Lonchura striata: one gene and its partners. The protein of the gene in region 1 interacts with the protein of each later gene in a pairwise test. Links are inferred from orthologs where the notes say so. Each region holds a gene or a part of one and is shown in the gene's direction. Other genes may lie near its edges. The genes, in order: IPCEF1, CYTH3, CYTH2 and CYTH1.

The links.
Region 2: the proteins of IPCEF1 (region 1) and CYTH3 interact in binary tests that used the Homo sapiens proteins (3 or more experiments, as listed by UniProt). The link is inferred for Lonchura striata from reciprocal best matches to the Homo sapiens genes IPCEF1 and CYTH3.
Region 3: the proteins of IPCEF1 (region 1) and CYTH2 interact in binary tests that used the Homo sapiens proteins (3 or more experiments, as listed by UniProt). The link is inferred for Lonchura striata from reciprocal best matches to the Homo sapiens genes IPCEF1 and CYTH2.
Region 4: the proteins of IPCEF1 (region 1) and CYTH1 interact in binary tests that used the Homo sapiens proteins (3 or more experiments, as listed by UniProt). The link is inferred for Lonchura striata from reciprocal best matches to the Homo sapiens genes IPCEF1 and CYTH1.

Annotation. Positions count from the first base shown.
Region 1 is NC_134605.1:55,582,936-55,589,902, forward strand, and holds the start of IPCEF1 (interactor protein for cytohesin exchange factors 1), read left to right. Parts: upstream 1-3,962; 5' UTR 3,963-6,215; intron 6,216-6,967. UniProt on the Homo sapiens protein: Enhances the promotion of guanine-nucleotide exchange by PSCD2 on ARF6 in a concentration-dependent manner.
Region 2 is NC_134618.1:10,893,739-10,901,402, forward strand, and holds the start of CYTH3 (cytohesin-3), read left to right. Parts: upstream 1-4,650; 5' UTR 4,651-4,872; coding exon 4,873-4,903; intron 4,904-5,131; exon of another isoform or gene 5,132-5,803; intron 5,804-7,664. UniProt on the Homo sapiens protein: Promotes guanine-nucleotide exchange on ARF1 and ARF6. Promotes the activation of ARF factors through replacement of GDP with GTP. Plays a role in the epithelial polarization.
Region 3 is NC_134640.1:2,541,240-2,548,983, reverse strand, and holds the start of CYTH2 (cytohesin-2), read left to right. Parts: upstream 1-4,727; coding exon 4,728-4,746; intron 4,747-6,398; coding exon 6,399-6,546; intron 6,547-7,744. UniProt on the Homo sapiens protein: Acts as a guanine-nucleotide exchange factor (GEF). Promotes guanine-nucleotide exchange on ARF1, ARF3 and ARF6. Activates ARF factors through replacement of GDP with GTP.
Region 4 is NC_134621.1:11,768,626-11,776,158, forward strand, and holds the start of CYTH1 (cytohesin-1), read left to right. Parts: upstream 1-4,523; 5' UTR 4,524-7,533. Other genes in the region: USP36 (ubiquitin carboxyl-terminal hydrolase 36), read left to right, coding at 521-1,030, 1,268-1,410, 1,816-1,980, 2,249-2,364, 2,440-2,571. UniProt on the Homo sapiens protein: Promotes guanine-nucleotide exchange on ARF1, ARF5 and ARF6. Promotes the activation of ARF factors through replacement of GDP with GTP.

The DNA of each region.
Region 1 (6,967 bases):
TATCTATCCAATGAAAAACTATATCTAGGCTGATTTCCCTAATAAGTATCATGTACATTTCCAGATGTCCTGCCATAGTACAGTACTCCACAATACTCTGAATACACTGTTATGGTGGAAAAACAATGCAGGTAATTGGAAAAGATCATCAACCCCACAAAAATGGAAAATAATATTTAGTACTCATGCATATATATATATGTAGTGGGGATCATGCACTTTTGAAATATTGAGCAGGCTTCTGTTAAAGTCTGTAGAATATGTGAAAGCCAATGCCTTTGGTTTCTCTTACATAACCATTGCAAAAAAAAAAGTCCTATTTTGGATTGTAATGTGTGAGAGGAAATAAGACATGAAAATGAGCACTAATGGCTTGTAGAGACAGAGTGCAGGGCAATTCTCCAAGCCATGTGTTTCCTCTGGTATTATGGACAATTAAATTAATCAGTGTTTGAATTCTGGATGACTAACAGAGGTGAACACACTACTGAGAGCATTTTACTAATTTTGTGTTAATCAATGAACTGATAACTTTTCCTTCCTCATAAGCAGGGCTTGTTTTACAAGCAACATGCTCCATAGTCTTGGTGCTCGAACAGAAAGGAGAGGGAGTAAAAATCCAAAATTTAACCAAACCAGGAAACAGATGGTAAAGACAAGCTTTTAAGTTGGAGAGGATAAAGAATTTTCTTCTTGCAAAAATGTTTCTTTAGTCCAAATCTTGCATCCTGTTTTATTACACTGCACCAGGCAGTCTTCACAAACTGCTTTATATCTGCAATCACATCCTGAATAGACCAAGTTAAACCTGTCATCAGGCTTTAACTCTTTAACTTAGATCTCAATGAATTCAGCTCAACCCCTTTTTTTTTTTTTTTTTTTTCAAGTTTTACTTTCCTAGGAGCTTTCCTGCCTTCATAATTCAATTTTTGGAATATCTTACACAGGCAGAAAGGCTTTTGTGCTCATACATTCTCAGAAATGCCTTTGCCAGCAGGATTGGTATTTCAGAGGAGTGTGAATGTTGGCTTCTGCTTGAGTTTTCTGCACTGAAATATTCATCCCCTAATTTCCACCATACATCTAGTGCACCATCCTGAAGTGTGGGATAGAAATGGTCGTGGGCAATTGGAAAGAACTGTTGTGTCCTTTGGAGTAATCTTTGTCCTGATGTACAACTGTGACTTCTTTCTTCTCTGTAAAGCCTGAGCTTTGCTTTGCACATACTGTGGTTATGGAGCACATGCTCTTTGTGGCTGTCACATAGGAATGCTTTTGTCTCCTTGCAGGCTGTGAGGTTTTTATAATGGACAAGAACTCTTGATGAAGCCACTGACTTAACTCAGCATATTCTGTGATTCACTTAAGATGTCTAAAGAGCACTCCAAAAAACTCAGTTTGGAGAATGAAAAAAGAGGGGTCAGGCTAAGTTAAATGTGTGGGTCTGTGTTGTGTCGAATGCTGCTTCAGCTGAGTGACAGTAACTCTGCAAAGAAAGCACCCGACACAACTGCAGCATGCACATTTATTTCTACCACTACTTTTGTATGATGCTAGAATATGAAACAAGGGCAGTCTTTCAAAGCAGTTATGTGTAGTTCCACACACCACACTTGAGCTGCAATATATATTGACAAAAGCAGTCAAGAGCTGCTGTCAGTGTGTAATTTCACCAAATTCTGCTGCCTGTGCTTCAGCTGCATCAGTTTAAAATAGCAACCTCTCTTTATCCTGTTGCCTGCACAATGCGAGTCCCTAACCATCAGTTTTGTCTGTCTTTGTGATAGTAATTGCTGGTAAGGTTGTGTTATTCCCAGGGGGCCTTGTGCAGTGGTCCAAAAGTGTAGTTTGGGTTATTCTGGACTTTGTCCAAAAGTGGAAAGTCAAATTTAAAAACAATGTTACTGCTCTAACATCACTTAAGAGTTGGGATTTTTTTTTAAATACATACTAGATTTGAAACAGGCAAGAGTTGTCTATTGCACATACTTTGCCAGTGGAAGAAAAAATGAGGATTGCATACTCAGTGGAGGAAAAAACCCCAGACCTTTGGGTGTCCTCCAGTTCCTGCCAGTGGGAGAAATGTGTTTGTTTTAGTATGACATAGAATAGATGTAAACATTTCTTTTTAAACCTCCCTGTGTGGTCATCTCAGTTATTCAGGATGATGTAAGCCACTGACTTTCTCCCTTAAGTGGTTATGGAGTTATCCAGTTTGGTTTTTTAGGAGAGGGTAAAGATATGTTAGACAATTACATGATTGATTAACAGAGTATGGAGACAGAGTAATTAAGCATAAAATAAGTGCCAGAGAGTTCTGAGCTACAGGGAAAATCCTTAGGGTCAATTTATGATTGTGGTTTCTGTTTGTTCTCTGGTGAGGGTGAATGTTCCCTATGCCAGACAGCAACCAAGGAATCAGAGGACAGGAAGTCCAGTTTACTGTATCTTCAGCTGAGAGGGGTAGTTGCTTGGGCTTCTTTGGTTTTTTGGTTGATTGTTTCTGAGAGTCCACACCCTCCTTGGTAAGTGTAGCCCTTTTAGAGTGCAAGTGAGCCAGAGCAGGAATTGTTGAAATGTACCTGTGGAGCAAACCTGACAAGATTCTGATGGATCACTGGGCTGTGCTGACTGATGGTGCTCCGCCACCACGTGTTTAGATGTGCTCTGGGAGTGCCTTTGCAGGTGAGGAGCCTTGTGACCTTTGCTTAGAGGCTTTTTTGTTTGGGCAATATTTACTGAGAGACAATATGTTACAGTCTAAAAATATATTCAATGTTTTGACCATGTATTTAATGTTATTTTTTTTCCCCAAGTAACTGCATGCTTCTCAGTGCTACTTATTAATGTGTTTTCCTCTTTCATCCCCCATTAGCTGTTTTCATTACCAATGTTCCTAATGAAATCCTCCCATATTTCCAGTGAAAATGTTCATAATGCCAAGTAGTCATAAATGAGCCATAAAATTTTAATCTGTAAACTGTAAAAGAGCTCCAACCAAACAAAACTTCATTAGCAAAACATAAGAAAAAACATTTTCTGCCTTGTGAATAACAAGTTCATGAATAATAACTAAACTGAGGATTTTCATGTAGGTATAAGATCAGCCAAACTTTAGTGGCTGCATTTTGGGTGATTTGTTTGATTTTATTACATGACAGTAGAAAATGAAGGCTGTAGTACACTTATTGTAGATTCTTGAAGTGCAGCTGTGGTGTTTGAATGTATTTCCACAGAATGTGATCAAAGGCTTTCTTAGGTGTAACACAGTTTTAGCTAAAACTCTCACACGTCACTGAATGTCCCATTGAACATGCAGAAGTCTTAATATTGTCTGGCATATTTCTTGACCACTGGTTTCTGGGGGACAGTTGGTATAAATTCCTGTAATTGAGTAGGATGAGAGCGAAATAAATGATGTCCTAAATTAATTATTTCCCTTTTACTATGTCTTTGCTCTCTGACCTTTTCCTCCCTATATTAAGGCTAAGGGACTTTTCAAAAATTTATTTCACAAACAAACAGCTGTAAAGTCTTTAATATTTATAGCATAATCAGTTTGTTTTGATGTCCAAGATAGTTTTCACTAGAGCCTTCCAGCAAAAAATAGTACTGTCCACAAAACATTTCCAAGTTCTTGATTCGTATAAGAATTCCTCTCTGCTTAGTAAGCTATTGGCTTAGACTCTGCTTTGAACTTACTTAGACCACCCCAAGCAGTCCTTGGTCCAGAAACATCAGCTTATCACTGGATAGGAAGAAAGGGTCTGTTTTTTTCTCTTTCAGAGTTTTGTAACGCTGGATTCATAGGTTGCACTGGAGATAGGGATGTGGACCTCCTGCCCTTCCTACCCATCAGCTAAAGCAGCAGCCCCTCTCTTCCCCACCCCATGCTCAGGATATGAGTGACAGGCCTCGATTAAAAGGCTAATGGGGCAAAGTACATGATTTGCAAAGTTGGTTTTCCTGTGAAAGTGTGGGAACATTGTGGAGTGACATGGTGTGTCTCACAGTGTTATGAGGGAGCCATAATCTAAAAACAAAAAAGGTTTGGCAGCATAGGAGCTCCTGGTGTGCCACAGGCATGTTTCAGCTAGTGCTCACCGAGAGACCTTTACTAAAGCAAAGGGGACAAGTGAGATGCGGCTGTCTGGGAGAGGCAGTGAGGCAGATACCCTGGGGTGCTCACACTTGGGTGAATCTGGTCACAGGAAATGCATTTGACCTGCTACTGACCGTGGCTGGCTGCTGTGCTTGCAATGCATGTGGTCTGTGTGGGAAATAAGGCTTTAGAAAGATGTGGAAGAGGCTCAGGTTTCGGCATCATGACTCATTTCCCAGTGGCTGACCAAAGCAGGGGAGGTGTCATGATGAGGGAAGCTGTGATGAGAAGTACTCCTGCTATCTTTCTCCCTATCAAGAAATGTCAGGGAATGAAAACAATCACCAGAAGTCTGAAGTACAAAAAACGTGAATCACACATGGATACCAAAGTGCATGACTTCTCCCACAGGTCACTCCTGCAATGGTGGATTTTTCATCTAGTTTGCAATGAAGTATTTGGTGTGTTTTCAAAATACAGAGGATTTTGGACACCCTCTGGTCTCGTGGAGTATTTGCTGTTCATGTAGAGAGACATCTTGGCTGGTGAGGCTGACTCTGGCAGCGTTGTCTCAGGGAAGGAACTGTAAGGCGAGAATTTTATCACCCCGATTAGTTTGATACAAGCTTTTTGTATTGGATGTGGATAACATGCCTATGTTTTAAAATAAAGTGAAAGTCAGTAATAAAATCACAAAAACCATACAAGAGATATTTGTGGGAGAAGAGATGCTGCCAAAACGTTGTTCTCTGGTTGCTTTCCAGTACTGTTGCCTAGTTTGCACCCCTAAGACAAAATTCTGGGTGCTGCCCTAGTGGAAGATGGCACACTACAGGAACCCAAAGGCTTGGTTCCATTGTTGAAAGCACAGACCAAGCAACATTTCTGTTGTTTTTCTCTAGGTCTTCAGTGATCTCCGGTGATGAGTGGTCTCTTCAGTCTGTTGCTGTTTTCTCCCTTTGCTCAAGGTGCCCTTGCTGAGCACCTCAGGCAGTTTTGGCATTGTCACACTTGGGTGCCTGCAGAAGGCAGTGTTGTGTTCAACATGCTTGTGCTGCTTTTGTACTTGAGCATAAATAAGAAATTCTCCCAGTAATTAAACAGGTTTTGTTGGGCAAGATGTTCTGTCCTCAGCACTAGGTCTGAGCACTAGGTTCCTTCTACTTTTTGTGTCAAATCTTATTGGTTGATGAGAGCCGTTTCTGATTTATGATTGAAAGGGTGAAATGAAAACAGGGTCTTGTTGATGAAGATGCAAGTGAACATTTGAACAATTAATAAAGGCCAAAAAAACTAGACAAGTAAAACCAGGCACTAATTCTTTATCTGAGCAGTGCTAAACAAAAACTACACAAAGTAAATGTGTATGTGTTTTACATTTGTGTGGGGTTTCATATCTGAGTCTACTGTCTGGAAACTTCTAATATTATTCTCCTACAAATTTCTGGACAATGAGCTGCAGGTAACTGTGGGGTGCTTATGATCAAGCAGCTGCTCTATTATTGTGCTGCTGTGCTTTGGGAGAGCAGACTGCTTGCTACGCCTGGGTTTTCTGTTCCTTCCCAGCCCTCCCACTCTCAAACCAATGCACATCATATCAGGTGGTTTTCAAAACTGTAAGCTCGTCACTAGATCCTCTTTTCACTGTCCTACTCAGTTCAACTTTTGAGAACAATAGAAAATGTATTTTTAAAGGCTGAAGATGCTGCAATACCATAAACACAGATAGATGTAATTATTGACTGGTTTGAGAACTGGAGCCATTGTAAGGTAACATATACTGCTGTGTTTAAGATGAAAAGTTTTTCTTCAAGTAGAAATTGTGTTATGCTCTTGGACTATTAAATACACTCTTGATTCAGAAATGCACAAAGCACCATTTGTGCCACTTAAAGTTCACATGGAAAAGCTGAATCATCCAAGCCATCTGAATGATGCACACTATTTGGTAGTTGTTTTCTTCAGCAGGCAGCTGGTGATCTCTCTTCCTGTATTCAGGGCTTGGGTGGGGGAGGAAAAAAGGAAGACAGAAAGGAGTCTCCTGGGTGGGGGAGAACCTATTGCTTCATGTGTACAAACTTTATGGTTTTCCTGAGATCTCTCTAAATTTCTGGTAAGTTAAAACTACATTAAGAGGATTGAAGAGGCAATATATATTGCAATTAAGTTATAAAGTGTTTTTATTTTAAAGTAATAATGCTTTATGAACATTTTAGGCATGATTTGTTTATTATAAGTTATATTTCAAGCAGTTCTTCATGGGAGAAGACATAGGATATGTGCTAGGGTTGGGGGTCCTTCAGACTTGGTAGCTTCTGTGTCTCCTGCTCCCCATTTGAAATAAGGAGGTGAACTGTGAGATTTGTTGCCTCAGTCACCAGCCAAAAAATGGTAACTCATTTTCTTTTGTGCTGTTCATGTTGTAAACTTAACACCTAATTTACATGTTTGCCTACTGAAGCTCACTGGTAATGAAGGGCTGTTTAGTGCTGAAAAAACTCTCAGGTCAGGAGTGGGACAGACATATGACCGGGTGGAACAGTTTTTTGCAGAAAAGCCCACGCATATTCCCTGCTGCTACATCTGTAGTTTTCTACATTTAGGATGTATCTATTTTTCTTTGGCTATTTTATTTATATTAATGTTAGTGAAGAAGCTTTTTTCTGCTTTTTTAATGATCTATACCTTTATTGCAGTCTGTCTTACCTAGTTAGATAGTAAGATTTTTTTATCAAGCCTTGTCTTCTAGTTTTAACTTCCTGAGTGTAATGGGTCAGGGATTTAATTATTCTGCATTGTACTTATTAGTACAGTTGAAAGGGTCTAAAGAGCAGCAGAATAGAAAAAGCAGTGCAGAAAGGCTTT
Region 2 (7,664 bases), on another chromosome or scaffold:
CTTTAGCTTTGATGTTCCCGAAAGCAATATAAAATACCTTCATGTAAAATTTTTTTGGCCTAAATGAAAGGTACAAGCATTTTTAAAACCTTTGAGACAACCAGCAAACAGGATTTTCTACAAAAATGTTTTTCCACCTGAGAAAAATAGGATGAGTGTGACAACATAAACATTTTAAGAAACAATACATGGCTGAAACCCATTTGCCAGGCAGAGGAAGTCAAAGACTTTGCCTGAGGGGTTTAAGAATACCAGATTATTCAAGTACTGATAAATTTGGAAAAAAAAAACCCAAAAAAAAAAACAACTTGGGGAAGAAAAAGGACAAACTGATGGTCTAAGATTTTCCTGCATTGAAACTATTAAGCAATGCTTCTTAAAAAATAAAAACTGTTTGACTGTCTAGATTTGAAACAAAATCAATGGCTGGGTATCAATGACAGTGATTCTATCAACAATATGATGTTTTAGAAAATGTAATGCTTGCACTATTTTCCTAAAAATGGGAGACAACTATGTGAGCAAGTTGCAAAATCAACCAATCAATTCTAGATTATAAAACACTGCACAACATTTGTATTGTTTAAGATGTGTCTCTATTTTTGGTATAGATCTATATGCTCTAAGAATGTATTTATTAAGACTGCATAGATGTTCATGTCTCCAAGATGAGCTTTTTCCTTCACGGTAACTGTCCATCTCACCCAATCTAACAGAAATCACACAAAGCCAGACTTGCAAATTAGTGATGTCTTGCCTACACAAGAAACAGGAATACCTGCATGGAGGTGAGTCTTCCTTCCAACAGTAAGGAGCATTATTCCATCTCCCTGCGGCTGATACTGACATGCAGTCTGATGGCCCAACAGTCACTTCTTTCTGCACTGAGAAAATTCGGAATTTTATTTATTATACTTGAATACAATGCTACTATGAACATCCTCATAGCTCATGTTCTTGATTATAAATAAAAACTTTATGAAATCTATAATAGTAAAAATTTTATTTTCATTCACTGCTCTTGGAATCTGGTTCAAACTGAAACCCACAGGAATGGCTTAATATTCAATGAGCTTTATAGACCACAAAAATGTGATGTAATAGTTTCAGTTGTCTTCACTGACTCACTGACACTGACATTTGTATAGGGACAAATGCCATAACAGATGTGCTCCTCAACCCTTAAAATGAAAAATGACATGATAAATTACTTCTTAGTGGAAACTGAAACAGAACAGTTACTGAACTACCCAAAGAGGGACAAAAAAAAAAAAAAAAAAAAAAAAAAAAAAAAGGCAAAGCATATTACCTGAAAATTCAGCTAGTAACCACATTTATCATTGAGGAATCAATGCTGCCAACAGGAGGTTTTGGAGAAAGCCCAATTTTCCACTAAAAATAATATAAACAGACCTGCTATTAGACTATTATTTACATGAATGACAGACTACATAGTGCTTCCAACACAGAAGGTTAGACTTGTGGATATGAAACTGGCAAAAGATACTGGTGGTAAAAATAGACCTAAGACTACAGAAGACACTGAAAAAAAAAAAAAATTCAAGCAATCCCGAGAAAACTATTGATTGGAAGTCTCAATAATATGAAGAAAAAATTTAAAATTCATACGTACTTCAAAACAGAAGAATGATCAAAATTAGATGCGACAAAATTATTCACACAAGCAGGAAATAATTGATTGGAGTTTGTCTTGGAATTTGCTGTGATTGTAACCTGTATTGTTCCTGGCATCTTTGTTGGTAAGGAACTACCCCATATTTAATGACAGCAATGCTGTTACTGTTCAATTGCCAAAAACCAGGAAGGAGTTCTGCTATGGTAGAACTGCTCTAGCTACAATGTAGAACTGTGAGTGTAATTCTTTACTTGATTTTACACATTTTCCAAAAATCTACTCCTGACCTAGTTAGGTTTACAGCCAGACATGAGCTTTACTTTATACACAGGAAAATGAGGCAACAGAGTGAAATGTTTGATCTTAAAAGTTTCTGTGACACCTCTCACCTACAGATTGAACAGCTTTGTCCACTAAAGCACCTTGTACACAGAATTAACAGTTTTGTGTTTAGAACACTTGTAAGATTGGGCCCATACAAAAGTAAGTGTATTTGTGATACACACAGTATGAATGAAAATGTTTTAAGGAATATCTGTCATCCTTTCAAAGACACACAGCCTTGGAGAGAACACTATAATTTTAGTACTCTTTTGTACTATGTATCATTAATAAGTCATTCTACTAAAGCAGGACTGGAAAGAACAGATTCTTCTTGAGAAGGTATTAAATGACATCTAATCTAGAGTTCCAACATAGTAAGCTATATATTCAACAAAACACTGAAAATTTCTCTGTTCAAGTTTATCATGAGTATAATAAAGAGAGTTTTCCATACCTCATGAGTTTGGAATTGGATTTCACCAAGAAGTTTCTATAAAATATTGCAACTGGTCACTTGTAATTAGGACAGACATTTTTCATATCTTTCTTGCATAACAAAATAATTTTTCACTTTGATATTAATTTGGAGAGTTTTAAAACTAGTTTTGCTTCCATGAAGTCAACAGGAATTTTGCACTGAATGGGTGGAAGGAGGACTGTTCTCCACACTTCACTCTCCCCTGCTATTAGAATTAGTGATTAGGCTTTTTTATTTTGGACTAGAATTTTCCTTGAAACCAAGTGAGGGATGGATGGATGGATGGATGGATGGATGGATGGCAAAAAAACAGAAACAAGAACATAAAAACATATACTTTATATAAAGGTGTAAAACAGCATAAATTAAATGAAAGCAAACAATCTGTGATTGATTATAAAATTAGAATTTTTCTCATGAACCAGATTCCCCACTAATGTAAATGAACAGTTTGCTCAGTGTGCAAAAATATTCAGAGCCCACTGTCAGTTCATCTGCATTAAGACTTATTTTAAACCATCCTTTAATGGCACTTTATTGACATAATTTCAAAATCAATCTCTTACCAAGGTGACACTTCTGTTTTATGTAATCATATCCTTTTTATAACTAACTTACTAAACTTGTAACAACATTTAATTTCAAATATGAAAGACAAAGAGGAGTATTTTAAAGGTTTATGATTTTTAGATGAGGTAAAGCACTTTATCACCAGAGCAGCTGTCAGAGCCAAACCTCAGCTCTCAGCAAAATGGGCTGTAATAACCACCTATTAGCAGCAGTGTCAAGAGGTGACTGCTCCTGACACAGCATCCTAGACGGTGCTCTGTCCCATGCCAGCCTACAAAAGGAAAATGAAAAACCTGATATTTTCCTGTTGGCTGACCTTTTCCTCCCACAGCTTCCTTTCTGAATAAAATTTTGACATGAACGTTTTTTAAAAAATAATAAGGGGCGGTGCCAAGGAAGGAAAGAAGGAAGGAAGGAAGGAAGAGTGATGTGCGCCAGTACACTTCAGCTTACCTTTATGACTTTGGAAGCTGCTGATATCCCGACTCCCATGGTAGGTAACTCACTGAAGATCTTTACTGAAGACTAAAGAAATCCCACAGATGCTCTGGCTCCTAGGGCAGTAAGCAGGAGAATAATTTCTGTTACCCACACAGACAACGCTCACCAACGCAAGCCCCTGCACTGCCCATGGGGCACAGTCCCATTTCTGCACCAGGCTCTCCATGACCACTGTGGCAAGGGGAGCACCCAGCACCGGACACAAAAACAAAGAGCAAGCAAGAACCAGCAAAAAACATGCAGAAACATCAGATGTCTCGGGCTCTTTTCCAAAAACTTCAACCCACCTCGTCCCCCTTCATTACGGTGCTTCAGGCCATCTCAGCCCTCACCTTCCAGTCTCCTCCCGCTTCCGTTTATAATGCCCAAAGGAGTCTTTAGACCTCCAAAAAATAGTCAGGGGCTCTGCAGACATTTTCTGGCTCATGAAGACCCCAAAACACGACCCCAGCCAGCATGAGCCCAAGTGACTCGGCCCAGGCTCCTGTCGCTCCCGACCGCCCCAGTGACCCCGGCAGCCCCCGGGCAAGTCGCTTTCGAGGCCTCGGCGCTGCGGGGCCGCGCCGTGCGGGCTGTGCCGGGAGGAAACAGCGCAAAGGGCAGGCGGGAGGCTCCGCTCCCAGCGGGGCTCGGCCGCGGCGCTGAGGGAGCGGGCAGCGCGGCGCTGAGGGGAGCGGGCGGCGCGGCGCTGAGGGATCGGGCGGCGCGGCGCTGAGGGGAGCGGGCGGCGCGGCGCTGAGGGGAGCGGGCGGCGCGGCGCTGAGGGGAGCGGGCGGCGCGGCGCTGAGGGAGCGGGCGGCGCGGCGCTGAGGGATCGGGCAGCGCGGCGCTGAGGGGAGCGGGCGGCGCGGCGCTGAGGGAGCGGGCGGCGCGGCGCTGAGGGGAGCGGGCGGCGCGGCGCTGAGGGGAGCGGGCGGCGCGGCGCTGAGGGATCGGGCGGCGCGGCGCTGAGGGGAGCGGGCGGCGCGGCGCTGAGGGGAGCGGGCGGCGCGGCGCTGAGGGGAGCGGGCGGCGCGGCGCTGAGGGAGCGGGCGGCGCGGCGCTGAGGGGAGCGGGCGGCGCGGCGCTGGCCGCGACCCCGCGGCGGCGGAGGGGCCGGGCGGGGCCGCCTCCCCTCCGCGGGTCACATGAGAGGGGCGGGCGGCTGGGCCGAGGCGGTGGCGGCCGCCGGGGCTGAGGCTGGGCTGGGAGGGACGGGGCTGCGGAGCGCAGCGGCGGAGGTAGTAGCAGCGGAGGAGGAAGAAGAAGAGAAGAAGGAGAAAGAGAAGGAGCAGGAGCGGCCGCGAGGCGCCGAGCCGGTGGAACGAGCCCCGGGCCTCCCTGAGCCGCGGCCGCCGCGGAGCGCCCTGCCCGCGGTCCCAACATGGACGAAGAGGGTGGCGGAGGTGGCGGCGGTGAGTGCGGGGCTCGTGCGGGGGGGAGCGCGGCCCCTCAGCCCGCGCTGCGGGCGGCAGGACGGCCGGAGCCCCTGCGAGCTGCCGCGGCCCCTGCCGCCGGTGCTGCCCCGTCCTGCCCGGCGCCCCCGAGCCGAGCCGAGCCGCCGTGCCGGCGCTACCGAGCAGTGCCCGGGCGGGCCACAATGGGGGCTCTGTCCCGCGCCCGGGCAGGGTCTGGCGGGGGCGCGGCGGTCCGGGCGCTCCCGGGGGCGGCGGGGCAGGCAGGCAGGGCAGGCGTGTCCTGGCCCCGCCGCCGTGACAGCCCCGTGCTCGCTGCTGCAGCTGCTCCTCCGCTGCCAGAGGGGAAGGGGCAAAATGTGAAAAAGTACGCGTCTGGCAGTGTAGGAGAGGAGAAAAGAGTAATTGAGCTCTGTTTGTGTGTGTCATCTTAATGGAGGCTCGGTGATAATCACGGGGTGGTTCAGCCAGTTTAAACAAGGTGAACTGTTTCCAAAGGCAGCGGCGTTAACCTTGCTGGATACTACTTTTAGAAAATCCAGACTCGCATGTTGGGGAAGCTTTTATTTGTATTATTTTATCTTTTGGAGACAGGCTTGTGCGCTGCCCCAGTTTAAGGCACTGCAGACGTGCCACACGCTTCCCTCCTTTAATTTATAATGTGTTTTGTGAGTGCGTGTGTAAAGCTGCTGCCTGAAATAACCAGTTCTTGTGTATCATCAGCGATAATGGTGGCTGAGCAGGAGCTGATCCTGCCCTGGGGCAGAGGGACCGACTGCATGGCCTGCCCTGTATTCAGTGTGTCTGTGCCGTGGTGGTGCAGAACGGAGCGACGAGGGTATATCTTAAACCAAATGCTAAACAGGCGGCCTTTGAATGCGTTGGCTGATCTCTAAATAGGTAAACTAAGGGCTAAGCATTGTATGATTAATAGTTGCGTGCTACTTGTTAATTCTAAATATAATTACCCAGAACTCGGAAATCAAGAGGGTGTGGTGTTTGTTTTGACAACTTGAAAAAATAATACTATGATGAATCAGAAAAATAATTCTTCAAGCAGTGGGTTGGAAATGTGGCCATTTCTCAGCAGGCATTTCTGCTTGTTTTGACAGTGATAGACTTAACTCTTAAAACAAAACTGAAAAAGGAAAGCAAAAGACAAAGCGAGTCAGTCTTGAAAAGTTATTATTCAAAGCAGTTGAACACTGTAATTGCAAAGAGCAGAAAGCTCATTTAACTCAAAATATGTTATTTTCACAGTATTATGGACTTGCATCTGTAGTTGAGGGAAATGAACATGCTTGTTATTTGCACTTACCGTGTGTAATATAGTACTTAATCATGTGCGAAATGTAAACTAGAAAGTGGACATATTGCTGAATTAATCTTCCATAAGATGTTAAGCATTTCAAAGTTGGATTTGCATAGGGCGACAGATAGTCAGGACCTGGGGACGACACCGTCTGTGTTTAGCTGAATGCTGATTCTATATGTGAAGCCTGATTTATACCTCTAGCATGCAAGAGAAGCTGATATCACTTTAATAAACATATTGCTTTTTGGGGGTAAACTACAGTACAGTGTATTGTTGTAAAACAATCACAGACAAGTAAGACTGGAATTTTGTTTTGTAATTGGTGTATATGACATTTTACTCTGACTTCTTGTAAGTATTGCACTTTATTCTTGAATAGAGACCCAGTCTTGCTTTTTCTTAGGGATTGCTGTCATTTTGGAACACCAGGATTAGTTAGGTAATTTCTAGCTAATGAATTGGCAAGTTGTTATTTTGTTTGGGTTTCCCCCCCTTTTTTTTCTTTGATGACAGGATACGTATGGATTTGACAGCCTGTTTTAAAAGTCTTTATTGCTGTTGAGTAATGAGACTTGTGATATCTGAGCAATGAGACTCCCTTTGGAGCCTGACCAGGGCAGCCCAGTGTTTTGAACTTCTGCAGGACATTCTTAATCCTCATAAACTTGATATTATTGAATGGGAAGCTCTTACAGCTTATCACTCTGCACAGGTACTTTAGGAAGTATGCAAAATTATTTAAGGGCTGCACAGAGTCACCCTAATTAGAGACTTGAACTAGATAAGCATGTAAATATCTAGGACATTAAAGTGTGATTCAGAAGGTAAGCTGCTATTCCCAGTTCAGCTCTGCCTGCTGCGCTGCTCTTCAGTTTGATTTGCATCCTATGCTTCAGTTCTCTTATTTGTCAAATGGGGTCAGTTGTTTTACCACCTCTGTTAAAAACTGTGAATGAAAACAGAACTGTGTAAAGTTAGAATTTATTATTTTAGAATCACTCGGTGGAAGAGAAGTGCTAATTAAAGGAATTGTTCTCAGTACCTCATTTTCTTTTGTATGTGGAGCCCTAAACAGGGCCGTGCATTTATATTATACAATCCACTTCCACACAAGCCTCCCATTGACTTCAGCAGAGGCTCTGTGCATGGATTATTGATGTGATATGATCCGAGTCAGTTGGTGTTTGGCTCAACTTTCTTTTGTGTCCTGATTAAAATATCTCTGTGGTTTGCTTAGTGCAGGAAATTTCTCCTCCTCCCTCTCCCCACTTGGTTTAAAACTACATCTTGTGTGATTTGAGAGGCTTTTCTCACAGGCTCACAGTCAGGTGGTGGCAGTGCCAGTGGCCAGGACCCTCGCGTTCAATAGTGCTCTTGGTGTGGTCACACAGTGAGCGAGTGATCCTCTGTGAAAGGTCAAAATGTATAAACAAGTCAGTGCTGCAG
Region 3 (7,744 bases), on another chromosome or scaffold:
CCCTTTTTTACCTCTTTAATTAATTCCCCCCCCCATTAACGAATCATTTAACCCCTTCGCTGCCAGGCCTGTCCAACATCGTCGCCGCCATCCTTTCCATCATTCCCCTTTTTTAATCATTTCCTTTACATTTTTCCCCATTTTTTTCCCATTTTTTTTTTAATTTCTCCCCATTTTTACCTCTTTAATTAATTTCCCCCCCATTAACGAATCATTTAACCCCTTCGCTGCCAGGCCTGTCCAACATCGCCGCCACCATCCTTTCCATCATTCCCATTTTTTAATCATTTCCTTTACATTTTTCCCATTTTTTTTTTAATTTCTCCCCTTTTTTAGCTCTTTAATTAATTCCCCCCCCCATTAACGAGCCATTTAACCCCTTCGCTGCCAGGCCTGTCCAACATCGTCGGCGTCATCGTTTACATCTCGGCCAACTCGGGCGAGGGCTCGGCGGGGGGGGTGGGCGCGGGCGGGGTCCCCTCCCCCCGGTACGGGGGGTGGGGGGAGGGGCGGGGGGCGGGGGCGGGGGAGGGGCGGGCGGGGGGGGAGGGGAGCGCCGCCCCTCCCCCTACAGCTACGGCTGGAGCTTCTACTTCGGCGGCGTCTCGTTCATCCTGGCCGAGGCCATCGGCGTCCTGGCCGTCAACCTGTACATCGAGCGGCACCGCGCCGCCCCTCCCCCCCCGCCCCGCGCCCCTCCCCCCCCGCCCCCTCCCCCCCGCGCCGCCCGGCCCCGCCCCCCCCCCGCGCGCCGCCGCTCGCGCTCGGGCTCGCGCTCCAGCGCCAAGTCGCGCGACCCCTCCCCCCCTCCCCCTCCCCCACCCCCTCCCCCGCCGCCCCTCCCCCACCCCTCCCAGCAAAGCCGCGGGAAAGCCGCGAGCCCCCCCCCGCCGCCCCTCCCCCCCCCCGCCGAGATCTCCCTCTTCACCCTCGGCCGGGGGGGGAGGGGCCGCCGCACGCCCCGCCCCTCCCCCAGCCCGCCCCGCCCCCCCCCGGCACCCCCGGCGCCCCTCCCCCACCCGGCCCCGGCGCCTTCCTGGCGCTGGCGGGGGGGGGAGGGGCGGAGACGGCGGGGGGGGGCGGGAGCGGGACCCTCAACCGGAGAACCACGCCGGTCTAGGGGGCCCCAAACCGGCCGGAATTCACCCCAAAACCGGCCCCAAACCGGCCGGAATTCACCCCAAAATCGGCCCCAAACCGGCCCCAAATTATCCCGAAATTATCCCAAAATTATCCCGAATTCACCCCAAAATCGGTCCCAAATCGGCCCAAAATTGGCCCCAAATCAGCCTAAAATTATCCCGAAATTATCCCAAAATCAGCCCGAAATTATCCCGAAATCACCCCAAAATCGGTCCCAAATCGGCCCCAAACCGGCCCCAAATTATCCCGAAATTATCCCAAATTCACCCCAAAATCGGCCCCAAACCGGCCCCAAATCGGCCCCAAATTATCCCAAAATCAGCCCGAAATTATCCCGAAATCACCCCAAAATCGGTCCCAAATCGGCCCCAAATCGGCCCCAAATTATCCCGAATTCACCCCAAAATCAGCCCAAAATTATCCCGAATTCACCCCGAAATCGGCCCCAAATCGGCCCCATCCCGAAATTATCCCAAATTCACCCCGAAATTGGCCCGAAATTATCCCAAAATTATCCTGCTTTCATCCCAAAATTTTCCCAAATACACCCCAAAATCGGCCCCAAATTCAGCCCGAAATCAGCACAAATTCACCCCAAAATCAGCCCAAAATCAGCCCAAAATTATCCCAAAATTATCCCCAATTCACCCCAAAATTCATCCAAAATCGGCCCGAAATTATCCCAAAATTATCCCAAAATCAGCGCGAAATTATCCCAAAATTATCCCAAATTCACCACAAAATTCATCCAAAATCACCCAAAATTCACCCAAAATCACCCCAAAAATCCCCCAAAATTCACTTTTCAGATTTACCCAAAATTCACCCCAAATTCACGGGGATCCCCCAAAATCCCCCTCAGGACCCCAAAATCCGGGTGCCAAAAATCGTCAATTTTTTGGAGCCCCAAAATCGTCATTTTTTGGATGGAATTGCCCAAATTTCCCCTCCCTGGGGGATCCCAAAATTCCCTTTTTTCCCCTTCTTTCCCCGTTTTTCCCTTTTTTTCCCATTCCCCCATTTTTTGACTTTTTTTTTTTTTTTTTGCTTTTTTTGATCATTTTTTGGGTTTTTCTGTTATTTTTTGACTTTTTTGTCCTTTTCTTGTCCTTTTTTTCCCCACTTTTTTTGAACAATTTTTGGCCTTTTTTCCCCCTTTTTTCCCCCTTTTTTCTCGTTTTTCCCTTTTTTCCCCTTTTTCCCCATTTTTTGCCCCATTTTGCCCCTCCCCCCCACCCCCGGGGGGTCCCAGTGCCTTAAAGGGGGGGGCTGGGACCCCCGGGGTGCCCCCACCAGTTTGGACCAGTACGGACCAGTACGGACCAGTACGGACCAGTTTGGACCAGTTTGGACCAGTTTGACCCAATTTCCCTAGACCAGTCTGGACCAGTTTGGCCCAGTAACCCCCAATTTCCCCGGACCAGTTTGGCCCAGTTTGTCCCAGTTTGGACCAGTTTGGCCCAACTTCCCCAGGCCAGTTTGGCCCAGTGTCCCCCAGTTCCCTGGACCAGTTTGGACCAGTTTGGACCTGTTTGGCCCAATTTCCCTGGCCCAGTTTGTCCCCGTTTGGCCCATTAACTCCCAGTTCCCTGGACCAGTTTGGCGCAGTAATTCCCTGAACCAGTTTGGACCAGTCCAGACCAGTTCCCTGCCTTATACGGGACCAGTTTCCCCCATTTTCCCTGGACCAGTTTGGCCCAGTAACTCCCAGTTCCCTGGCCCAGTTTGGCCCAGTTTGTCCCAAATTCCCTGGCCCAGTTTGTCCCAGTTTCCCTGGCCCAGTTTGTCCCCGTTTGTCCCAATTTCTCTGGCCCAGTTTGTCCCAGTTTCCCTGGCCCAGTTTGTCCCAGTTTGGCCCTGTTTGTCCCAATTTCTCTGGCCCAGTTTGTCCCAGTTTGGCCCAGTTTGTCCCAGTTTCCCTGGCCCAGTTTGGCCCAGTTTGGCCCAGTTTGTCCCAGTTTCCTTGGCCCAGTTTGGCCCAGTTTGGCCCAGCGTGCCTCAGTTTCCCCTTCCCCATGACCCCGGGCGGGTGGGGGGGGCTGGGATCATCGGGAGCCCCCCCGGCCACGCCCCCTTGGCCAAGCCCCGCCCCTTTCTGCCCCACCCAATCAAACCCCGCCCCTTTCTGCCCCACCCAATCAAATCCCGCCCCTTTCTGCCCCACCCAATCAACCGCCGCCCAACCAAGCCCCGCCCCTTTCTGCCCCGCCCAATCAAACTCCGCCCCTTTCTGCCCCGCCCAATCAAACCCCGCCCCTTTCTGCCCCGCCCAATCAAACTCCGCCCCTTTCTGCTCAGGCCACGCCCCCACAGCACCCTGGATGAGGCCACGCCCCCTTTCTTTAAGCCCCGCCCCCCGCGCAGGCCCCGCCCCCCGCATGCAAATTTTTACGGGAATTTCGCTCTTTCCAATAAAAAAACGCGCGTGAAAACGGCGGAATTTGGGGAATTCCGGGAATTTTGGGGGATTTTGGGACGTTTTGGGGAATTCGGGCAGAATTTGGGGGAAATTTGGGGAATTCTGTGGGAATTTGGGGGGAATTTCGGAAATTTCAGTGACGTTTTGGGGAATTCTGTGGGAATTTGGGGGAAATTTGGGGAATTTTGGGGACATTTTGGGGAATTCTGTGGGAATTTCGGGGAAATTTGGGGAATTTTGGGGAGTTTGAGGCCATTTTAGGGAAACTCAGGGAATTTTGGGGACATTTTGTGGAATTCTGTGGGAATTTGGAGGAAGTTTGGGGATTTTTTTTTTTGGAATTGGGGAAATTTGGGGAATTTGGGGCCACTTGATGGGAATTCAGGGGAATTGTGGGATCATTTTGTGGGAGTTTGGGGAATTTTGGGCCATTTTGGGGAATTTTTTTTGAAATTTGGGGAATTGGGGGCCATTTTATAGGAATTTGGGGGAATTTGGGGGAATTTTGGCGCCATTTTGGGATCACTTTGTGAGAATTTGGGGAATTTGGGGTAATTTTGTGGCCATTTGGGGAATTTGAGGGCTTTGGGGCCATTTTGGGGTAATTTTGTGGCGATTTGGAACCATCTTGGGGTAATTTCGTGAGAATTTTGGGAATTCGGGGTCATTTTAGGGGAAATTGGGGGATTTGGGAACAGTGTGGGGTCGCTTTTTGGAAATTTGAGGTCATTTTGTGGCAATTTGGGGCCATTTTGTGGCAATTTGGGGCCATTTGGGGCCGGGAAAGGCCCTCAGGGCACACAATTAATATTCATGAGCTTCATTAACATCAACAAGCGCGGCTCAACACGCAAGTCCCGCCTCCTTCCCCAATCCCCCTCGCTATTGGCCGGCTCCGCTGTCAATCACAGTCACCCCCCGCCGCCCCGCCTCGCTGTCTCCCGATTGGCCGAGCGCTCTGTCAATCCCCCGCCGCGCGCGCTCCCCGCGCGGCGCTCGGTCCCGCCGTCCCCCCGCTCCCATTGGCCGCGCGGCCCGTCGCTCAGGGCGGGCGCGGCGCTGATTGGCGGAGCGGCCGCGGGGCGGGCGCGGCGCTGATTGGCGGAGCGGCCGCGGGCCCGGCGGGGCGGAGCGGCGGCGGCGGCGGGGCCGGCCCGGGGCCGCCATGGAGGACGGCGTGTACGGTGAGGGCGGCGGGGCGGCCATGGCGGCAATGGCGGCCATGGCGGCAATGGCGGCGGGGAAGGAGCGGAGCGGGAACTGGCCCTGGGGGGGGGGGGGGGGGGGGGTTCGTGAGGCGCGGGCCAATGGCGCGGCGAGGGGCGGTCACGTGGCGGGCGCGGCGGGAAAGCGGGGCGTGGGTCACGTGGGTGGGCGGGGCCAATCAGTGGGGGCGAGGCCATTCATCTGGTGGCCACGCCCCTTTTGAATGGGCCACGCCCCCTGTGGGCCACACCTCTTTATGAATAGGCCACGCCCCTTTCGCTAAACCACGCCCTAACTGCATATGCAAATTAGACCACGCCCTCTGCACGTACCAATATGTATTAGTGATGGCCACGCCCCTTTGGGCCAGACCACGCCCTCTTCTTTACGCTGAAGGCTTAATTGAGGGGGCGGGGCTTGACTGGGAAGGGGCGTGGCCAAGGAAATGAGGGGCAGGTGTGAAATGGGCGTGGCCTTGAAGATGTGGGCGTGGCCAGGGAGGTGCCCAGGTGTGCCCAGGTGTGATGTGGGCGTGGTCATGAAGCTGTGAGTGTGCCCAGGTGTGCCAGGGCTGTGCCCAGGTGTGCCCAGGTGCGCCAGGGATGCACTCAGGTGAGCTCAGGTGTGCAGGGCAGTACCAAGGTGTACCCAGGGTGGTGCCCAGGTGTGCCCAACTGTGCCCAGGTGTGCCCAGCTGTGCCCAGGTGTGCCCAGGTGTGTCAGGTGTGCCCAGGTGTGCTCAGGTGTGCCCAGGGTGATGCTCAGGTGTACCCAGGGTGGTACCCAGGTGTGCCCAGGTGTGTCCAGCTGTGCCCAGGTGTGCCCAGGTGTGCCCAGGTGTGCCCAGGTGTGCTCAGGTGTGCCAGGTGTGCTCAGGTGTACCCAGGAGTGCTCAGGTGTATCCAGGGTGGTGCCCAGGTGTACCCAGGGTGGTGCCCAGGTGTGCCCAGGTGTACCCAGGAGTGCTCAGGTGTATCCAGGGTGGTGCCCAGGTGTACCCAGGGTGGTGCTCAGGTGTGCCCAGGTGTGCCCAGGTGTGTCAGGTGTGCTTAGGTGTACCCAGGGTGGTGCCCAGGTGTGCCCAGGTGTGCCCAGGTGTGCCCAGGGTGGTGCCCAGATGTGCCCAGGTGTGCCCAGGTGTGCCCAGGTGTGCCCAGGTGTACCCAGGGTGGTGCCCAGGTGTGCCCAGGTGTGCCCAGGTGTGCTCAGGTGTGCCCAGCTGTGCCCAGGTGTGCCCAGGTGTACCCAGGGTGGTGCCCAGGTGTGCCCAGGTGTGCTCAGGTGTGCCCAGGTGTGCTCAGGTGTGCCCAGGGTGATGCTCAGGTGTACCCAGGGTGGTACCCAGGTGTGCCCAGGTGTGCTCAGGTGTGCCCAGGTGTGCTCAGCTGTGTCCAGGTGTGCCCAGGGTGGTACCCAGCTGTGCCCAGGTGTGCCCAGCTGTGCCAGGTGTGCCAGCCGTGCCCGCCGTGCCCGCAGTGCCCCCGGACCTGTCCCCCGAGGAGCGGCGGGAGCTGGAGTCCATCCGGCGCCGGAAGCAGGAGCTGCTGGGGGGTGGCTGTGGGTGTGCCCAGGTGTGCCCAGGTGTGTCAGGTGTGCCCAGGTGTGCCAGCCGTGCCCGCCGTGCCCGCAGTGCCCCCGGACCTGTCCCCCGAGGAGCGGCGGGAGCTGGAGTCCATCCGGCGCCGGAAGCAGGAGCTGCTGGGGGAGATCCGGCGCCTGCGGGACGAGCTCAGCGAGGCCATCAGCGAGGTCGAGGGGCTGGAGGCCAGCGAGGGCAGGTGGGGGCGCCCTGGCATGCTCCCGAAACAGCCCCAAAATATCCCTGAAATGTCCCCAAAATGTTCCCGAAACAGCCCCAAAATGTTCCCAAAATATCCCTGAAATAGCCCCAAAATGTTCCCAAAATGTTCCCGAAACAGCCCCAAAATGTTCCCAAAATGTTCCCAAAATGTTCCCAAAATGTTCCCGAAATATCCCCAAAATGTTCCCAAAATGTTCCCAAAACAGCCCCAAAATGTTCCCAAAATATCCCCAAAATGTTCCCGAAACAGCCCCAAAATGTTCCTGAAATATTCCCCAAATATTCCCAAAATATCCCTGAAATAGCCCCAAAATATCCCTGAAATAGCCCCAAAATATCCCCAAAATGTTCCCAAAATATCCCCAAAATATCCCCAAAATATCCCCAAAATGTTCCCAAAATATCCCCAAAATATCCCCAAAATGTTCCCAAAATATCCCCAAAATATCCCGGAAATAGTCACAAAAATAGCCCAAAGTATCCCCAAAATATTCCCAAAATATTGCCAAAAATAGCCCAAGATATCCCCAAAATATCCTCAAAAATATCCCTAAATAACCCCAAAATGTTCCCAAAATATCCCCAAAATATCCCCAAAATATCCCCAAAATAGCCCAGAGTATCCCCAAAATTTCCCCAAAAATATCCCAAAATAGCCCCAAAATATTCCCAAAATGTAAAAAAAAAATTCCCAAAATACTCCAAAAAATTGCCCAAAGTATTCCTAAAATACTCCCAAAATATTCCCAAAAATATCCCAAAAATGGCCCAAACAATTCCCAAAATATCCCCAAAAAATCCCCAAAATTACTCCCTAAATATTCCCCAAAACAGCCCAAAATGTTCCCAAAAAATTCCTGAAACATCCCGAAAATAGCCCCAGAAATATTCCCAAAAATAGTCCAAATTATCCCCAAAATATTCCTAAAATAGCCCCAAAATAGTCCCAAAAAAATCTCCAAAATTTCCCCTCAAATTCCCCAAAATTTTCCCCAAATTCCCAAAAATTCCCATTTTTTAACCCAAAAGTCCCAAAAATATTCCCGAAAATTCCCAGTTTTGACCCCAAAATTCCCCAAATTTTGTCCCAAATTCCCCAAAAACTCCCAAAATATTCCCCAGGATTCCCAAAAATTCCCCCCAAAATCCCCATTTTTAACCCCCAAAATCCCCAA
Region 4 (7,533 bases), on another chromosome or scaffold:
GTGTGGCCTTGCAGCCAGCTTTTCTGTTCTCCAGGGCTGGCAGGGCTTGCTCCAGATCTGAGAAGAGGTGACTTCAGCACAGAGTGGGAGGGAGCTTTGCAGGCCCTGACCCCATACTAATGTCCCATGGGATCAGGAGGCACCAGCCTGGTCTAGATCTTGCTCTGGGTGTCCCTTGTTGTCTTCACCACCAGCATGTGCTGCAGCAGCACCCACTCTTTCCTGGTCTGCTGTGGGACCTGTGAGTGCTTGCAGAGTAGCCTCTGATTCCCATTTCGTGGCCAAGATGGCAGCAGTTGGGTGTTGTGCTTCTGCACCTCAGGGGAGGGAGGAAGAGAGGGGCATCCAGGCTTTTGGATCAGCCTCTTCTCCTGTCCTTCAGCCTGTCCTCATCTGCTCTTTAACTTCCCAATCCTGAAAAGTCTGCCTTCAGTTTCGTGCTCAACTTGCCTGCTCAGCACCCGGCCTCCCTGCTGACCCATGGTTCCACTGCCCACACTTCACACCACCTTCTTTGTAGCAGCAGGGAGACAGGATCTGGCCAGGAGGAACCAGAGGGTTCCTTCAAAAAGAAGCGTCGGAAGAGGAAGCATCGTAGCGCAGACAGGAGCCCTTGTGCTGTGGCTGTGAAGGGCATGGATGAAGTCTCCAGTCCTCCCAAGAAGGAGAGAGTTATTTCTCCAGAGGTCTTCAAGGGCAAAGACTCCAGGCTCCCCAAGAAAGAAAGCACTGACCCTCAGAAGGACTTCACTGATAAAGACACCAGGCCTCCCAAGAAGAAAGTTGCCTCTCCAGGGGACTTTGTGGCTGTCATGGGGAAGGAGGTGGCCAGTGAGGGTCTCAGCCATGACCTGGTCTGTCAGGACATGAAGAGTGGGCCCAAGCAACATGTGCCAGAGCCCAGTACTGGCCTGGGCATGGAGCCAACTTTACCCCTCAAGAGGAAGAAGAAGAAAAAGAAGAATAGAAGCAAAGACAGGCTTTTGAAGAAGACAGAAGAGTGCAGCTCTGGGATGCTGCTTTCGGACAGGTGAGGGACGAGGGGCATGTGAGAGCCTGAGGTCAGGCTCCCTGAGTCAGGGGCTTCTCATCTTTCTGCAGGTAGGATGCACCTCAGCATGCATCCAGCTGAAGCACCTGTTTGCTGTGGGTGGGTTCACTTCTCCCTGGGTGCAGCACGGGTGTCTCTGCCCTATTGCTCTGTTGGAAGCTCAGGCTCTCCTGCTGTGGTCTGGCTGGTGTGAGCTGACCCTGCTGCCTTCCCCAGCTCCAGGACAAGAGAACCAGAGCCCTGTAAGACACATCAGAGTGTGGAGGCTGGAGAGCACAAGCACCGCAAACGCAAGTGGATGGAAAGCCTCAGCAGCCTGGCTGCCGATACTGTTCCCACCGCCACTGCCACTACCCCAGGTGTGACCCTGTGCCCTGTCTGGTGCCTGGCAGTGTCAGGCCAGTGGCTTGTCTGCCCAGGAGCCCCCTTGGAGCACTACTGTACCACCCCCAGTGCTTGCTGGTCCCGCAGCTGCCTGGCAGTGTCTGTGTCCTGCTCCCTGGCCTGGGCTGCCCTGTCCCAGGCCTGCCTGCTGCTCCTGGGGGACAGCCCTGGAGCCTTTGCACATGCCCTGGAAGAGGAGGTGGGAACAGGCCCCTTGACTGACCCCCAGGACAGGCATTTGTGTGCCCAGACACCCTCAGCCATCAGGACCTTGTCTGTCCAAATGGTGTTTCCTGGGATGAGATCTGCTTTGGAGAGGGAGGGACATGGTAGCTGCCCTTGCTCCCCCTGGCTCATCCTCACCGTGCTTATTTCCACAGTGGCAGCACATCCCAGCGACAGCCAGACTGGGGATGAGAGGCTCTCTCTGGCTGCCCTGAGCCCTATGGCCAGCAGTTGGGCTGGCACAGCCCCTGAGGGCCAGGAGTCCAGCGTGGTGGACAAGCTGCTCCAGAATTCCTTGGACAGGGCTTATGGCAAGCAAGGTAATCCAGGGTCATGTGGGTATGTGGGTGGGCAAACAGCATGGAGCCCCCCTGCCCTAAGGCCTGGATGGGGGCAGAGTCCCCTCAGCTCTGCAGGGCCTGAGCTCCCCCCACCCCAGTGCAGGCAGGGGTGCTCCTGGAAGCAGGCAGGTACACCCGGCCACGGGGCTGGTACAGGGTGGGCAGCGAGGGGCTCCAGCCTTGGGCCTGGGGCGGGGCCAGGTGCAGCGTGGCACAGCCTGGTCCTTCTGACTCCACCGCTCTGTAGTCTTGACCTGGCAGGGTGAGATTTCGGCCGTGAGCCAGGATGCAATTCGGGACACAGCACTGGCCCAAAGCAAGACCGTCATCGATGACTGGGACCAGGAATTTGACAAAGGAAAGGTGGGTGCTGGCCTGGGCCAGGTGGGAGGCTAGGGCCTCTGCAGTCTGACCTGAGCACACTCCTCCTCTGCACAGGTAAAGAAAATTAAGAAGATGAAGCAGGAGCGGAGGAGAGACTCAAATCCATTCCAGAAGTTGCAGAACAAGCGCAACTTCTGGTTGATGTCACATCCTGCCAAGATGGCCAGCCTGGGCCACCGGCTCTAAGGTGAGTGACCCGGGGGGCACAGTGAGCCTGGGGGCTGATGAGGTAGCAGCCTGGTGGGGTCTGACAGGGCTCTTTGCCTCACAGGTTGAGATCTGCATCCCCAACTGCTCAGGGAGCAGTCCCAGGTCAAGGACCAAGGGCAGCGCTGTCCTGGGAGCTGTTGGTGGAGCACACTCAGAGGGGAGGGAATACAGCCGCAGCCCTGGCGTTGTGCCTTTTCCTTCGGCGAGCTGCTTTCCAGCTGCAGAGGAGCCTGCCCACTCTGCCTTCCCTCCAACCTGCCTCGGCCGGGCGCCTCATCAGCTTCTCCGTGCCTCTTCCCCTCAGGCCCCAGCCCACCCCTGCGGGGGCTCGTGGCAAGTGCCTCAAGCCCATCCCTGTCACTCCGAGCTGCTGTGCCTCCTCTTCCCAGCGTCACCGACCCTCATCTTCCCCTACTCCCCTCACTCCATGACCCCCCTCCCCTGCACAAGCTGCATGGAAAGCCTCCCCCGGCCCCCTGTCGGCCCGGCCCCGCGCTGGCGCGGGGGCACCGGGGGATCCCTTCGGGGCCGGAGTGCTGCCGCCGTGGCTACGGGCATTGAAGGATGGAATTGAATAAATCCCGGTCTTTGTCACTCGGTCATGATAGGCGGCGATGGCGAGGGGCAAGCAGCGGGGCGGGCTCACCGGGACGGGGTTGGGGGGATCACCGGGGCGGAGTTGGGGGGGGATCACCGGGACGGGGTTGGGGGGGATCACTGGGGTGGGGTTGGGGATTTCACCGGGACGGGGTTGGGGGGGGGATCACCGGGGCGGGGTTGTGGGGGGGATCACCGGGACGGGGTTGGGGGTTTCACCAGGGCGGGCCGGGGGCACCGGGACGGGGTTGGGGGGATCACCGGGGCGGGGTTGGGGGTTTCACCGGGGCGGGGTTGGGGGTTTCACCGGGGCGGGCCGGGGGCACCGGGACGGGGTTGGGGGGATCACCGGGGCGGGGTTGGGGGTTTCACCGGGGCGGGGTTGGGGGTTTCACCGGGGCGGGCCGGGGGCACCGGGACGGGGTTGGGGGGATCACCGGGGCGGGGTTGGGGGTTTCACCGGGGCGGGGTTGGGGGATCACCGGGGCGGGCCGGGGGCACCGGGACGGGGTTGGGGGGATCACCGGGGCGGGGTTGGGGGATCACCGGGGCGGGGTTGGGGGTTTCACCGGGGCGGGGTTGGGGGATCACCGGGGCGGGCCGGGGGCACCGGGACGGGCGGCAGGGGGCGGGGCCGGCGAGGCTCCGCCCCGCCCGGGTCACGTGGTGCCGGCCGTGGCGCGCTCGTCACGCGGGCGGGGCCGGAGCGGCGGCGGCGGGATGGAGGAGGAGGAGGGCGGCGGCTGCGGTCAGTGCGGGCCGGGGGCGGGCGGGGGGCTCTGGGACACCCGCCTGGCCCGGGACGAGGCGCCGGGGCAGTCTGTAGTCCCCGCTGGGCGGTGGCTACTCTCCCGGGCGGGGCGCGTTTGGGCCGGGCCGCTGCCAGGTGCAGGACCGGGGGCGGTGGCTCCGGGACGGGCGGGGATTTGGCGGCGGCGGGACCTGCGTCCGCAAGTGACAGAGCGGCCCTGGCGGCATCGTGCGGGCGGCGGCGGAGGAAGCGCCGGGCGGAACTGGCACCTGGTGCCCGGCGGCAGCGCGGGGGGCGGGCGCGGCGCGGGGCCGCCCTCCCCGGGCCCGCGGAGCGCCGCCACTGCCGCGGGAGCTCCGTGGCCCGCTGCCCGCACGCCTTCCGTCGGCCGCTCGCACTTCGCTCCGGTGCTCCCACGGCACTGCCGAGTCCCGGCCCCGCAGAGCTCAGGGCGGCTTGGCCTCGATGGTGCCTGCTGAATGTCACAGCCCCCGGTTCGGGAGCTCCCGGTGTGTGCCCTGGACCCGCTCCCAGGGCGGGCCGCGGCGGCTCAGGGGGTGCAAGGTCTCCCTTCTCATGCCCGTACATTCTCCTCCCACTTCCTTCTGCCCTCCGTGCCCGCAGAGCGTACCTTCCCTCCCGGTGCTGAGGACCGGGACTGGACAGGGAGACCCTGCCTGTGCCTGATCTCTCCCGGGCAGGTTCCCGTGTGTCGGCAGGTGGTTTTTCTTGAGGAGGGCCTTTGCTGAGGGGAGACTGGAGTCTGGGTGAAATCTCGGGCAATGGCCCCAGTGCTGGAGCCGTGCTGGTGACCATTCTTCCTGGGAGCAGCTGGTGCCAGCAAAATGCTACTGCCGGCAGTGCCGGTTCACGGCCGGTTTCCTGCCCAGCTGTGCGGCCGATTAGGAGCTGCTGTTCCACCCCAGAAGTGACAGTGCTCGGCTGCAAGGACTTCACTGTGTAAGATAAGGAAGGTGCTGGCAGCTGCGGCCTGGCTCGGGTGTTGTCCGATACAACCCATTAGCAGGAGAGCGCTGTGGGGATCGGTTCTGCCAACAGCCTCCCAGTGCTTCCTGGAATCACCTGGAAGACATCCCGGGTCATATCTCAGCATTAGAAATGTCCCGCTCACTCTGTGGCGGAAGCCACAGGGAGTGCACCGCCGCCTCCAGCCCCCACCACTGTTCCTGTGCTGGGGGCAGCACAACCCACAGCTGCCCTGAAGCCCATAAGCATGGTTTAGCCAAGGACATTCTGCCGAGGCTGTAGCATGGTGGGAGCCGACGCGGAGTCTCTTTCTGGTGGCATTGTGCTGACGCCAGTGTCTGCCCCATGGCTCATGGCCCCTCTTCAGCCTCTTTTCAGTCTGCCTCGGCAGAGAGCAAATCCCAAGGTGAGCAGCTGGCAGCACAGATGTGTGCTCTCCCTGCTCCTGCCAGGGCGTGGGGCTGCACTCCCACCCCCTTCCCAGCATCTCCCCGTGGGGACAGCAGCAAAACTGAACCCATCCCAGAGCGGAACTGACCGAGAGCAGTGGTGTGACTCAAATGCCTCTGGACTGTGGGGAAGAGGTATCCTGGCAGAGAACCATCCTGGCTGCTCCTGCCTTGCCAAGCTGCAGCACCGGTGAGAGGATGTGGGGAGCACAGTCCTGTCCTAGCACTGTGTCCTGAGCTGGGCCCTGTCATGGCTCAGGCTGGCCCCAGGGAGATGGGGATTGGGCAGTGCTGGTAATCCCACTGCACCCAAGGGATTACTGCTCACTCTGGCCTAGGGATTAAGGGATTTCTCTAAGTGGGGTTGATGCAGCCTCCAGCAAAGCAGCTTGTGCCTGGGGGGCCTTATTGTCTGGGACAGGATGGGTGTGTGATGGCAGGGTGGGCTGTACAAGGTGTGGGGGATCCCCAGGAGGGTGGGGTGACAGGTCTGCAGAAGGCTGGCTGAGGGGGTCCTTACCCAGGTAGTCACTGCTCTCCTTGCCACCAGCCTGTAAAGTCCTGTTTTGCCAGTGGGTGCTGGCAGCCCTTTGGTACAGGTTTGGCTGTCCCATCCTGGGACCACGGCATATTCCTGGACACCAGGGAACACTCCTGGGGGAGCTGCTGCTGATGCCCCAGTGCTTCCTTTGCACAGTGTGGAGTCAGCCTAGGCAAGTTGCTGGGCCCAGCTTGGGGAGCAACTCTTCCACAGAACTCAGGGATGGACTCCCAGGTCACAAGCAAAGACAGTGCTGGGGTAGCACCAGGCTTAGAGAGCAGAGCCAGGGGCTTGGGTAGAGGCAGTTGCCCAGTTCCTCTCCTGAGGTGTTTGGAGCAGAGAACAGTGAGCCCTGCTGCTGACACTTGCAGTCATGTCAGGGCTGTAGCTATGGTTTGTAAACACCCCACCTTGCCTGGACAGGGTGCAAGGACCCAGCCAGGCATCCAGGTCACTCTTTGTGGGAGATGCCACCTGGCCCTACCCCATCCCAGTCGCAGCACCCACATGCCTGTGTCACACTGGTGTTTCTCCAGTGCCAGTCCAGGCCCAGGCAGGCACCTGTACAGCACGTGCACAGCTCAGCCTCCTCTGTGTCCCCAGCTCCCTTGGCTTGCCCTTTTGCCTTCTGGTGATGTGGTAACTGCTGCTCTGGCCCTTGGGAAAGGGGAAGTGGTGTTGAAAGCAGAAGGTCAGTCACATCAGCAAGTGCCTGGCTGCTCTCACAGTCCTGTCAGCTGCCCTTCTCCACTCTCTCCTCCTCTCTTCAGTCACACTGCTCCTGGGATCAGGAACTGCTCCTGCCTGCCAGGGTGCCCTTCCCCACTGCCTGCCCGGTCTGGGCTTCTGCCTGCCCTACTCAAGTTACTCCTGGCTCAGCGATCCCAGTGGATGCAGGGGCGGGTGAGCGGAGCTGTTGGGCTGCTCCTGCCCTGACAGGCCCTGGGGTTTGTTACTCACGGCCATGCCCTGTGCTCAAGATCGCTCCTGCTTTGAGGAAAGGAGCTGTCAGTCCGGTTTGGGGTTCGCTCAGCGCCTGTGGGGTGGGAGAGTTGCTCATTTCCTCAGCTCCAGAGCTGCCCCCCAGCCTGAGATCCTGGGGCATGACCCCTGATTCCTGCTGCAGGAGCCCCCCACACACCAGGGCCGCGGCAGAGTGGGCAGTACCTCTGGGGCATGAGCGGGGCTTGGTGTCTGCTCGTGCTGGCGCACAGGGCTGGCTGAGCCTGTCGGGCTGGGTCAGGCTGGGGAGCGGGGGCCGTGGTGGCACCCCCACGCTCGCACCGCCGCGCTTCTCTGGGTGCACCTTCCTCATGCGGCGCTCGTTGCTATGCGACCGCCAGCTCCTGATGCTTAATGCTCTAATACGGAGGGATAAAACCACTCTAAAAATACACTGCTGCTGGCCCCCCGCGGGGGCAAAGGAGCTGCCGGGGGGCAGGCAGCCTGGGCAGGGGGGCTGCTGGGAAGTTCTGAAACTCCGTGTCCTCCAAGTGGCTTTAAGCCGCCCGCTGTGGCTCCGGCGGTGGCACGGACTGGTGTGCTGGTGCGGCGGGGATTGGCTGGGGCTGGCGCGTGGGCTCCTGCGGCTGGAGCTCCCCTACCAGAGCCAG